Linked DNA regions of Xenopus tropicalis. The main gene of each other region encodes a partner of the protein of the gene in region 3 in a complex. Links are inferred from orthologs where the notes say so. Each region holds a gene or a part of one and is shown on either strand. Other genes may lie near its edges.

Region 1 (3,758 bases), on a different chromosome or scaffold from region 3:
ATAAAATAACACATACCTGCATAACTTTCTTAATCTGATCAGTTGTAACATTCATAATTAATGTTACAGCTTGTATAGTGTGATAATGTGCTAAAAAGGAGCTAAAAAGCATAACAAAATTACAGGAGGTGCAGATTAATCCTTAATTAGTAACGTATAGATGGCCAATTAATTGTGTGATTCTACAGATGAAAAACAACATCTGCTACTAAGTCAAACAGCTGCAAAATACAAAGCGTATAAAACAAGTGAAAGTTGCTTACAGATAAGTCTGTCAAATCCTGCAGAAGACAAAGTTACACCATTGGGATGAAATTTGCAGCAATAAACTTCTCCTTCATGACCAGAAAGCAGCATGATGGGAGCCTGAAGACTGGATGATCTTGGGGGACCCTGCAGTCAACAAGTTCAGAGAATTAAACATCAAAGTAGATTCAGTTCCATTTATTACCTAAAGAAATATTTTATTCACCTTAAATTTTTAGTATTCTATAAATTACCATTTCTATTCTATTTTAAAGGGGCACTGACACATTCCTATAACAGTAAGGAACTTGTCAGTATTACCCATAATGCAGCACAACACTACTGCTTTTATTGAAGATTTACCCCAAATCTCCTCCAGCCCAGTCACACTTACCACAGGCAGAGTTAAAGGAACAGTAACACCAAAAAATGAAAGTGTATAAAAGTAATTACAATATAATGTACTGTTGCCCTGCATTGCTACAACTGGTGTGTTTCCCTCAGAAAGACTACTATAGTTTATATAAGTAAGTTGCTGTGTAGCCATGGGGGCAACCATTCAAAGGAGAAAAGGCACAGGTTACTTAGCAGATAACAGATAAACCCCCATTATATGGGGCTGATCTACTAGTTATCTGCTACATAACCTGTGCCTTTTCTCCTTTTTTCAAGCTTGAAAGGCTGCCCCCATGGTTACACAGCAGCTTATTTATATAGTAGCTTTTCTGTAGCAAAAACACCAGTTTTTTGCAGAGCAACAGCACATTATATTTTAATTACTTTAAAACACTTTAATTTTTTGATGTTACTGTTCCTTTAAGCCAGCAGTCTGGATAAAGAGATGCTCCCTGCAGACATGCGGGCTGTGGGTGGTGCCATCATTCTATAGGCAGGAATACAAATGTAAACTGTACTCCAGCCGTTGGAAGGATTGCATGGAGGCCAGTGTGACTGACAGACAACTCGTTAAAGTAACATTCTGCGTGTAGTAGTGTTGGGATGGGGTAAGTGTGTTTGGGCTGGGGGAAGCCCAACCAAGTGCTGCATTGTCAGTAATACTGACACGTTCCACGTCAGTATTCTTTTAACTACTCTTTGGCATATTTTCTCCCCTTAAAATTCAGTTTTAGTATTATTGTTATATTGCCTATTGTTTATCAGTCTATTGAGATCCTTCCCTAATTATTTGCCATTTTGAGTTCCAATCTACTTCTTGGTTGCTAGGAGAATTGAGGTCTAAACAAACAAACCTTAGAGGCGCAGAAGAAATAATCAAACTAAAACATGAGAAACAGATATACAGACTAAGGTCATGCTGTCTACACTATACTAAAGGACATTTTAAAACTGAACTACCCCTTTCAGAAAAAAGGCATGAAAATGGGTTAAGAGAAAGTCCCATAGCAGTAAAAATACTAGCTTTTTATTTACTATTTATAACTTTTGGAAATAAAGTTTTTTTTTTAAAAAAGAAAACTTTAACTTGATTACCTTCATTAAAACAACTAGAAAGTCCCATAAACGAAAAACCACAACCCATTAGCGTAGCAAAGTGTAATCACAAGGTCCTTAATGGCTGTGTGGGGTGCACAAGACGAGTCAATACTATAAGTAATTATACCCCTACCTATGTTCAGACGTTAGAGCCTTATGATTACACTTTTTAGCTTATTCTTATACCGTCTAAATCTTTTAATAAAGGAAATAATGGTACGATTTAGATTATGTCTATAATTTTACCTAAAGTCCAAGTCAAATATGCCCAAGGAATGAATGGTTACACTTATCCAAGCCAACCATTTCATTCAAATTCTTCATTCTTACCGAAACCACCAACTCGTTCCTCGGTTTTTTTGCCTGTACCGGCACCAACTCCATTCCCTTCCGCTTGTTTTGCTCGATCATGTTTCCAAGAACTCCTTCCAGCTTGTCTAACACTCACAAACCCAGCCACACTGTAAGACTCGCTTGCGTTCCCACTCAGCAGCGCAGGATGCTCACGCAATTATCCTGCGCAGTCACTACCTGATAAAGATTATAGTGGTGATTGGCTCTAAGACAATCATGTGACCTTGAAAGCCTTTAAGGGGCGGAACAGAGCTTGCGCCGATTTTGTCCATTAGTAATGACGTACGATGGGCGGGGTTGCGCGTATAAGGATGTTTAAGCAACTGGGCTGATACAGGAGAAAGAGAAAATGACGTAGAAGTTGTTGTAATTGGTTAAATGTGATCGGCCGGGGAGGAGACAGCGAAATGGCGGCCCATCAAAGGTAAAATATATAACAAGTCAGTTAGAAGAAGATTAATAGGCTATTACATAAACCATTATTAACGCAGCTTGATATTTCTCTGCAGGTGATTCAATTTTTTTAGGCACATCACATGTAATTTTGTCTACTCCAGTAAAAGGGGCTGTTGGCTTTAGGTGCCTTACATGCTGTTAGCGCACACTGAAGGATTCATAGGCTGGACATGCCTTCACTTTCTCTTCTATATGGAGCATATCTATTATAGTGTGTAAGTCGACATCATTGGTGGTGATGTGGCCCTTAGCAACCAATCAGATCTTTGCTTTGGATTTCTAACTTTTAGGTGACTGCTAAACTCTTAATTGCTGATTGTTTGCTATGTGCAACATCACTGGTGATATTGGCTTATACGCTAGTAAATAGGCTAAGGATTAAGGCCATATGTTATTCTGCACATAGAGCCACATTTACAAGCGTATTTGTAAATTTAGAGAGGTGACAGACGGGTATATTAGTCGCCCCGCAGCAATTCTTTGTTGCTGCGGGCAACTAATCTCCCTGCTATGCCATCCCACCAGCAGGAATGTAAATCGCCGGTGGGATGGCATATGCGTCACTACGATTTTCTGAAGTCGCCTTAAGTTGCCTTAAGAGGAAACTTCGGGTGACTTCCTTAGCCCTATGTGTTGTAGCAGCCATGATTACTATAAGGTATTACAAATCTATTGTCACAGTGACCCAGTTACACAGTGTATGGGTTTGAACCTGCAGTGAAAAAGAATGAAAGTGTCCCTGCCCTATGTTATGCGTATTTATCTCATTATTCAGAGACTTACGAAATATACATATTTGTATATATATCTTTATGTGACTCTAATTTTATATGCAATTGTTTTTTTTTTTTTTTTTTTTTTTACAATACTTTTATATTACAGTGCAATAAATAAAATATTAGCAGCTAAAGAGATTGAGTGCCACACATTGAGACACAAGAAGAATGAGTTCTTTGTCCTGTCTTAACATCTAAGAAGGTTGGAAACTTATTCACATGAATGGGAGGGTAATAAGTGCAGTCATTTATTAAGGTGTGGACATTGGTCTATATAAGGGTCACCTCTGAGTAGAGACACTTATTAAGAGATGTAGTGGAGCATGAAGGATTAATTCTTTGCTTATGAGAAACTATGGCAGGCATTAAGGAGAGAACTGGACTGGGTCTTCTGATGCTGCTCTCTGCACCAAACACTGGATTTTTTTTATA
Region 2 (3,326 bases), on a different chromosome or scaffold from region 3:
AACATTAGTCAACATCATAATGAAAATTAACTCAAAGGTAAATAAAGCCTTTAAAAAAAGGGTCACAACAGCCATGAGTACAGGGTGCCTGTATGAAGAGTAGGAAAATTATCAAACCCCTCCCCCCCAAAAAAAAAAAAATAAGACTGTAGGGAAAGATACAGTATTGTTCTAGTGACCTGTATGAAGTGTAACTGCCTATAAAATTTAAGGGAGCAGTTCTGTTTTTGTGTATACATATCTCCCTAGAAGGTAGTACTCTCAGGACTTAAAAAAAAGATGGTGAATATTTTTTATATGCTTGCTTTGTACTCCTTAATCACCATTTGCCCCTCGAGCTGTTCCTGCAATACTGCAATGACTGAAAAACAGCATTACTTTATTATAGTGTCCAGTCTGGCGGAATATTCTGGCACAGGATTCCCCCAATAGCAGACACAACTGGTAACTAGTGAATGGCACTATTTGTATCTAAGCTGCTCCCATAATACTGGGCATCAAATTCACAGCTAAACAGTGGGAAACCCCAGTACAATTCAGGATATTTCTGATACAAACCTAAATGTTATATTTGCATTTTTTTTTATTATAAAAAAACATTAGTTTCTTGTATAATGAAAACAAAACTGAATTTCATGACTGTTGTTTATTTTACAGCAGTACAGATCATCATAAACCAAAATGTTTATCAAACTTTATGAAAAAGTGTTTTTCTTTTCAAAATGTATTTAGCAATGCAACTTCATCTTAAGTCTCAAACATAAATGTATAGACCTTGATCTTCTGAAGTCCAAAATGCTGCGCTCTTAATGCAAAGAACATAATATAATTAAAAATGAAAAGTAAATTAAAAAAAACACAGGTCACATCCTCCTCTTCTGAGTGCTAATATACAAAACTGCAAAGAGAAAAAAAAAATTCACATAAACAATCACTTCCATGTCTTGTTTTTCTGCAATTCTATCAATTCAGCCACAAATACAGTTAAGACCTAAAGGTTAAATACACCTATGCTAAAGATGTTTTAACTAAATACTAGCAAAGTCATCTTTACCATAGGTGTATGTCAACTTAAGGATTCAACTGTAGGTGGGACATTTATATAAAGGTATGTATTTTGTGTGGTATAGAATGTTTTTAAACTATGTCTATAATACAAATTTTATTCGTAGATGTCTAATACAGTCTGCATTCCAGTTAGAGGAAAAAACAGTATTGCACAAGAAATATCCACTTGTAAGTGCTATGATGCCCGAACCAGAGTTCCTGGTGAGGGAAGCCATCTTGGGGCCCATGTATACCCATGATGAGAAAACACCCTTTATATCATTAATAGGATAACTTTCTTAACGTAAATTAAAATTCGGAAATAATCATGTTACTTTTCACTCTGCCCCTCTCAGCAACCTCTTTTCTTTATGCAGAAGTCAGAGAAGGCAGTTAGGTCTAACACCTTTTTTTTTGGGGGGGGGGGGGGGGCCTCTTTACTAGCAGACGTGTGTTACTTTTGGAAGAGTCAGCTTGAATACCTCTTCTAAGGAAAGGGTGCAACCACCCCAAAGAACATATTAGACCTGTCAATCAAAACCTGACTCCACCTACTGCATGAAGAGAGAATAAAGAAAGGCAGGTGATGAGTGGGGGAGTGAAGAGTAACTTGGTTATTTCACAAACATGACAATTTTTACATGATTATATTTAGAAAGTTTTGTTATTTCAGATAGATACATCTTATATTGAAAATGTATTTTCCATACACTACAAACACTGGCTGACAAAGTATCAATACTATGCAGTGTATAGAGTTCTAGTCATTATCTTTCAGGTTAACAAAGCACTGGATTTCAACAGGAAGCCAGCAGTAGCTTCCTGATCTGCAGAAAAGGGATGGATGAGTGAAAATGTAATCTGTTCCTCTATGATTAAGGGTGAAGACACACTGAGCTACTAGTAGCAGTTACAAAAATAGACAATACTGATCATTTACAGATAATTGTCTCTACGTATGTTTTAGCAAAGGAAATTCTCAGTATTGTCTATGGCAGGGTATATTTTGGCGTTAAGTAGCCATGACAAGTAGCTGCTACTAAGTAGCTTTGTGTGTCTTCACCCTTAAGGTGTTCATCTGCCAGGGTTTTTTTTTAGCTAGTGAAGTAGCACCTTAAGCTACAACTGCTGTTTCTGATTGACTACCAGGGTCCACCTGAAATAAATAATCACAAAAAATGCAATACAATACAGACAATACAGCATTTTCAAATCAAGAACTGCCAGAACCTGTGCTACCAGCAAGTTTGCCTTACAGCCAATGAGACACAGCAGGCCAGGTTTCAGCAAAAAAATACCCAAGTACATATTAAAGTTAGAATTAAACTCCAAACTGTAAACTCTATAGAGTATAAAAGCAAAGAATTGTTTGACTTAAAGCTATAACCTTTTTAGGTCATAAAACTATTAAATAAGTGAAAAGGTGTTCCATTTTATGTGTTTATATTAGACCTTACTAAACCAAACACACAACAAGCCAGTATTTTTACTGTACTATTCTTATGCTGCTTTCCCAGAGATCGCATCTAAGAAAGCATTAGGGAGTACTGGACACAAAATGCAAATCTGTGAGATGCAGGCTTCATATGTGTATAATAAATATCCAGCAATCTTTTTAAATATAAAAAAGTAGGAACGGTTACTTAACAGCCCAATAACAAGTATTTGTCCTTGGGATTTGAGGGTCACAAACAAAATTGAAGGTTATTCTGGTTGATTTTACAGCTATCAAAGGGAATACAAGTCTTTAAATTAAAAGGTGCAACTAAGGAATAACAGGTTTACTGGGTGCTACTGCGTGTACAGCAGTTTTATTACACTGAAGAAATGCCTGGCCAGTTACAGAGTTTCTTTCAGGGTTCAATAGCAATGTTCCACATCACACTTTTTACTGAGCAATTACATTTAAAACATTTTTTTATATATTTAAAAAGCAGGACTCAAATTCTTTTGAACCACCATTATTACCATTATTTCCTCGGATAAATGCATCCCCATACTTGTTCTTCAGCTGTCCATTCACATACTCTTCTGTTTGTTCCAAAGCAATATTCATGTAACCATCTAAACATGCCAGAACACCTATATGTGGTGTAGATAAAAAGAAAAATACAAAAAACAATATAATCAGATAGATATCAGTAGTAAATATAGATGGAAAAGCACATAACTGTTGCAAAGACCTCTGGATATTTTCCTTGATTTGCTTTTCTTAGATAATTAGCCTATAACAATAGCCTTTTTAAAGGGTAACTAAAGGCCCCAATGAACACATGTAT
Region 3 (3,758 bases):
TTAAGGGCTGAACCATCAGATAGGGGTAGAATTGCTATTGTTTCTACCTCTATATCCGATGATTCAGCCCTGAACGTCAATGGAGGGTATAAATAAACTCAGAACTAATTTGCAAATGCAATCTGCAGTAAATATTCTACTACCCTTAAAGCAGATGTCAGTATTACAGCACAGGTGCTAAAAATATCTGCGGTGCACTATTTAATATTTTAAAACAGTTATTGTCTTTCCTGTCAGGAAAGCTGCCATATTGCTTATTACGTTTAATTTCAATGTACTATTTTGAGTATTAGTTGATCTACAGAAAAAGTATTGTTGCTATTATATTCATAATCCCCCACCAAGCAGCCAATGGACAGTTTAGCTTCTTGCAGAATTTGCTACACAATGAATGAAAACAGAGAAGCACTGAAGCCAGTTTCTTAGAACTTAACTATGAGGATTTGTGGAAACAATTGTGCTTCAACATTTATTCCAGTCTACTCCCATTACTTAGATCAAACCCCCGATCGGGGCAAAAGAAGTACAGATACAAACCTAAATTCGCCAGTACAGAATTGCCTGAAATGAGAAATAAAGAATTATTTACAATTAGCAGATACTTTACCTAACGTAATCTGTTTGCACAACAATGCATTCCTGCATAGCACATAATGCATTAGTCTACAACAACTTCTTTTTGATATCAGAAATAGCCCCTTAGACTGATGCCACATGGGTTGATTCTGGCATCAGCTTTAAGCATCAGAAATGGGAAATTCATGAATTTACTTTATCCTCCATTTACTTTTACTTCTAAACACTAAAACTAAATCTCCTTCAGTGCAGGTGACAAATGCCCAAAGTTTCCTTACAACCAGCATTGATGTAAATTGCTGGTGAGAATATTAATGCCTGTGGGAAGGGACCTTTGGATGGTTTGAAAAAAAGAAACAAGGGGTGTAAAGTAGTGCTGTCAAATTCTTTTAGATGCAGAGGGCTGTATATTAAAGAACTTAGTTGTGATGAGAGAAACAAAACAGAAAGGAACTCTATGTGGATAATATATTATTAGTATAATTGTAAAGCTTTAAGCTATTTAAAAACTGTTTGCTAGATATAATACAGGTATAGGAACCATTATTTAGAAGTCCATTATCCAGAAAAATCAGAATTACAGGGAAAGCCATCTTCTATAAACTCCATTATAATCAAGTAAATCAAATGATATAAAGTGATTTCCCTTTTCTCTGTAATAATAAAACAGCACCTTGCACTTGATTCTAACTAAGATATAATTAATCCCTATTGAAGGCAAAACAATCCTATCAGTACTGTCTATTTTGTAGGCTCGACAGATAGCTGGCACATGGGGAGATGAGTCGCCCGCGGCAAAACTCCCTGTTCGCGGGCGACTAATCTCCCCGAGTTGCCTTCCCCTGCCATCCCATCGGCGACAATGTAAGCCGGCGGTGGGATGGCAGACGCGGCGAGGCGATTTCGGCAAATCGCCGAAAAAGACTCGCAAGTCTTTTTCAGCGATTTGCGCGAAATCGCGCCGCCGCATCTGCCATCCCGCCGGCGACTTACATGTTCGCCGGTGGGATGGCAGGGGAAGGCAACTCGGGGAGATTAGTCGCCCGCGAACAGGGAGTTTTGCCGCGGGCGACTAATCTCCCCGTGTGCCAGAGCCCTTAGTCTTACTGATCTAGTGAGACTAAAATAATGACAGCAAACATCTGATTGGTTGCTTTGGGTTATGGGCAGTTGCAAACTTTGTCAGTGTTGCTATATAACTACTCCAGAGTTTTGACAGCAAAAGTCATGCAACTTCACCTGAAGTTCTCTGCAGTTTTTGGTACAATATCTGCAAAAAGTTCCACCTTCATCCGGCCCACCTCCTGAAAAAGTAAATGGACATTAAATTAGTTTTTTTTGTGAAAAGACAATTAGCACATTGGTATTACAGTCATCATACCCTTCATGTTTTCCCAGAATATATGCCTTTCTTCACAGTTACACACAAGCAAACTAATTTGAAGTTGAATAGCATAAAATATAGCAATTACAAAACTTTAAAAGCTTACAAAATTAGGCCACCCAATGTTTTTAATATTCTGTATAACTTTAATTTAAATAAATGCAGAATAAATAGGTATAGCAACAGTTTGCTTGAAAGAACAACTTTTTCAAAGACACGGAATGGACAAATTAGCCCTCATGTTGACACATTTTCCAAAATGTCTAGTTTCCATGTTGACTTTTTTCCATACATTCTAAGGATAATATTCAGAGCTTTCCAAGATGATCTTTTTTCCCCTAATTGGTTTGATCAGCCGTCTGGTGGCTTTACAAGTTTTGTTTTGGGCTCTCTTTTGGGGTTCACGCCCAGTCTTCCTTGGGGGCAGGGTTCATGAATTGGGATGCCATGAGAATTTTAGAGTTCATATTTAGGGATTTTCTCAGGGCTTAGAGTGCATGTTTAGGACCATCAGTAAAGTTTTAGGGTTTAGAGATCGGAAAGAACAGTGGGGCCCATACACGTGGAATACAATTTAAATACATAATAATTTCTGCTATGAATATAAAAATCTGTCCTTCAGTCACAGTACACACTTAGCCTTCTTGCTAATACTACACTACACCATGCAGCCCCATTTGCTCAGCTGCAGTTTGTAGGTGGTGTTGCATGGCGAGATTCTTCTCAGTACGTAAGTATGGAATCATCATTTAATGCAGGGCTTTCTCAATGTATTATACTTAACACCGCGTGTTACCTGCCCCCCGATACTGATATCGAAGAATACGATGGGATTGTTAGCGTTGGAAGCCGGTACCGCCATTTCTATCTGGGGCAAAACCGGAAGAGAAGAGGCGGCGCTTCAATCCCAGAAGCGGCTTGCTTGTAGGCTGTATGCGCAGGCGCAGTGCATTGTTTTACACGCTTTATTCGCATGAAGTTGGTGGGCGATGCGATATGCCTGCGCTTCTAACCTTGCAGGGGATTATGGGAGAGTGGCAATAGCAGTACGTTTACGCGTGACTAAACCTGATTTACTCATTGACATATAAGCAGTACAGAGGTTTAGTTTTGGATGGAGTGGAGTTGTAGCATTCACATGTTCCGTGCAATTAAATTTATTTCTGTTGAAGCTATCCATATCTGTAAATATCCATGCTGTCTGCCTTGCTCTCACATCAAGCAGTGCTAATACAAGCGCCTCAGCGCTCCACACCGGAAACGTCTTTTTTTTTAGTTCCTATTTCAATGTGGCCTGATCACAGCCGTGATGCTGTGTGGGCGAGAGTGCGTTTATAACAGAGCTCTGCTTCTGTGTGGGTGTATGTGTGTATTTATGCAGTAGGTAGAATTATGGTTACCTGTGGCTGCTGCACATAGGGAACACACCAAATCCCCTCTGTATTCTGTGAGGAGAAGGGAGGTTTTATTGTTTGTATATCACTTCCCATAAAATCTCCCTCTCCACTGGCAGCTTTGTTGCTGTTTGGCCTTCAAAACTATTCCATAAATTCAAAGTACAGGGAAATCAGGTTTCCCAAGAAACTGATATGGGTATGAAACCTGGGCCCTAACAAATAAATTGACTGGGGAATAAAGTATATCTAAAACCTAAAAAGTTAATATAAATTTGTCAGTGTCCTCTTCTAGTCACATTTGCATTTTACATCAATTATTTTTTAAAGCTTTTAATCTGCTTATAAACAGCGCCGCCTACTGGTCAGCTCTTACAACCATACAGCTGAGTGAGTATACATTG

Evidence for each region.
Region 1: ppih (region 3) and snrnp40 share a complex: the UniProt entries of both Homo sapiens proteins name them as parts of the U4/U6-U5 tri-snRNP complex. The link is inferred for Xenopus tropicalis from reciprocal best matches to the Homo sapiens genes PPIH and SNRNP40.
Region 2: ppih (region 3) and lsm6 share a complex: the UniProt entries of both Homo sapiens proteins name them as parts of the U4/U6-U5 tri-snRNP complex. The link is inferred for Xenopus tropicalis from reciprocal best matches to the Homo sapiens genes PPIH and LSM6.

The regions. Positions count from the first base shown.
Region 1 is NC_030678.2:79,149,740-79,153,497, reverse strand, and holds the start of snrnp40 (U5 small nuclear ribonucleoprotein 40 kDa protein), read right to left. Parts: upstream 2,224-3,758; 5' UTR 2,152-2,223; coding exon 2,071-2,151; intron 394-2,070; coding exon 264-393; intron 1-263. UniProt on the Homo sapiens protein: Required for pre-mRNA splicing as component of the activated spliceosome. Component of the U5 small nuclear ribonucleoprotein (snRNP) complex and the U4/U6-U5 tri-snRNP complex, building blocks of the spliceosome.
Region 2 is NC_030677.2:58,331,126-58,334,451, forward strand, and holds the end of lsm6 (U6 snRNA-associated Sm-like protein LSm6), read right to left. Parts: intron 3,130-3,326; coding exon 3,016-3,129; intron 899-3,015; coding exon 864-898; 3' UTR 632-863; downstream 1-631. UniProt on the Homo sapiens protein: Plays a role in pre-mRNA splicing as component of the U4/U6-U5 tri-snRNP complex that is involved in spliceosome assembly, and as component of the precatalytic spliceosome (spliceosome B complex).
Region 3 is NC_030683.2:94,758,847-94,762,604, forward strand, and holds the start of ppih (peptidyl-prolyl cis-trans isomerase H), read right to left. Parts: upstream 2,826-3,758; 5' UTR 2,823-2,825; coding exon 2,757-2,822; intron 1,881-2,756; coding exon 1,816-1,880; intron 562-1,815; coding exon 538-561; intron 1-537. UniProt on the Homo sapiens protein: PPIase that catalyzes the cis-trans isomerization of proline imidic peptide bonds in oligopeptides and may therefore assist protein folding. Participates in pre-mRNA splicing.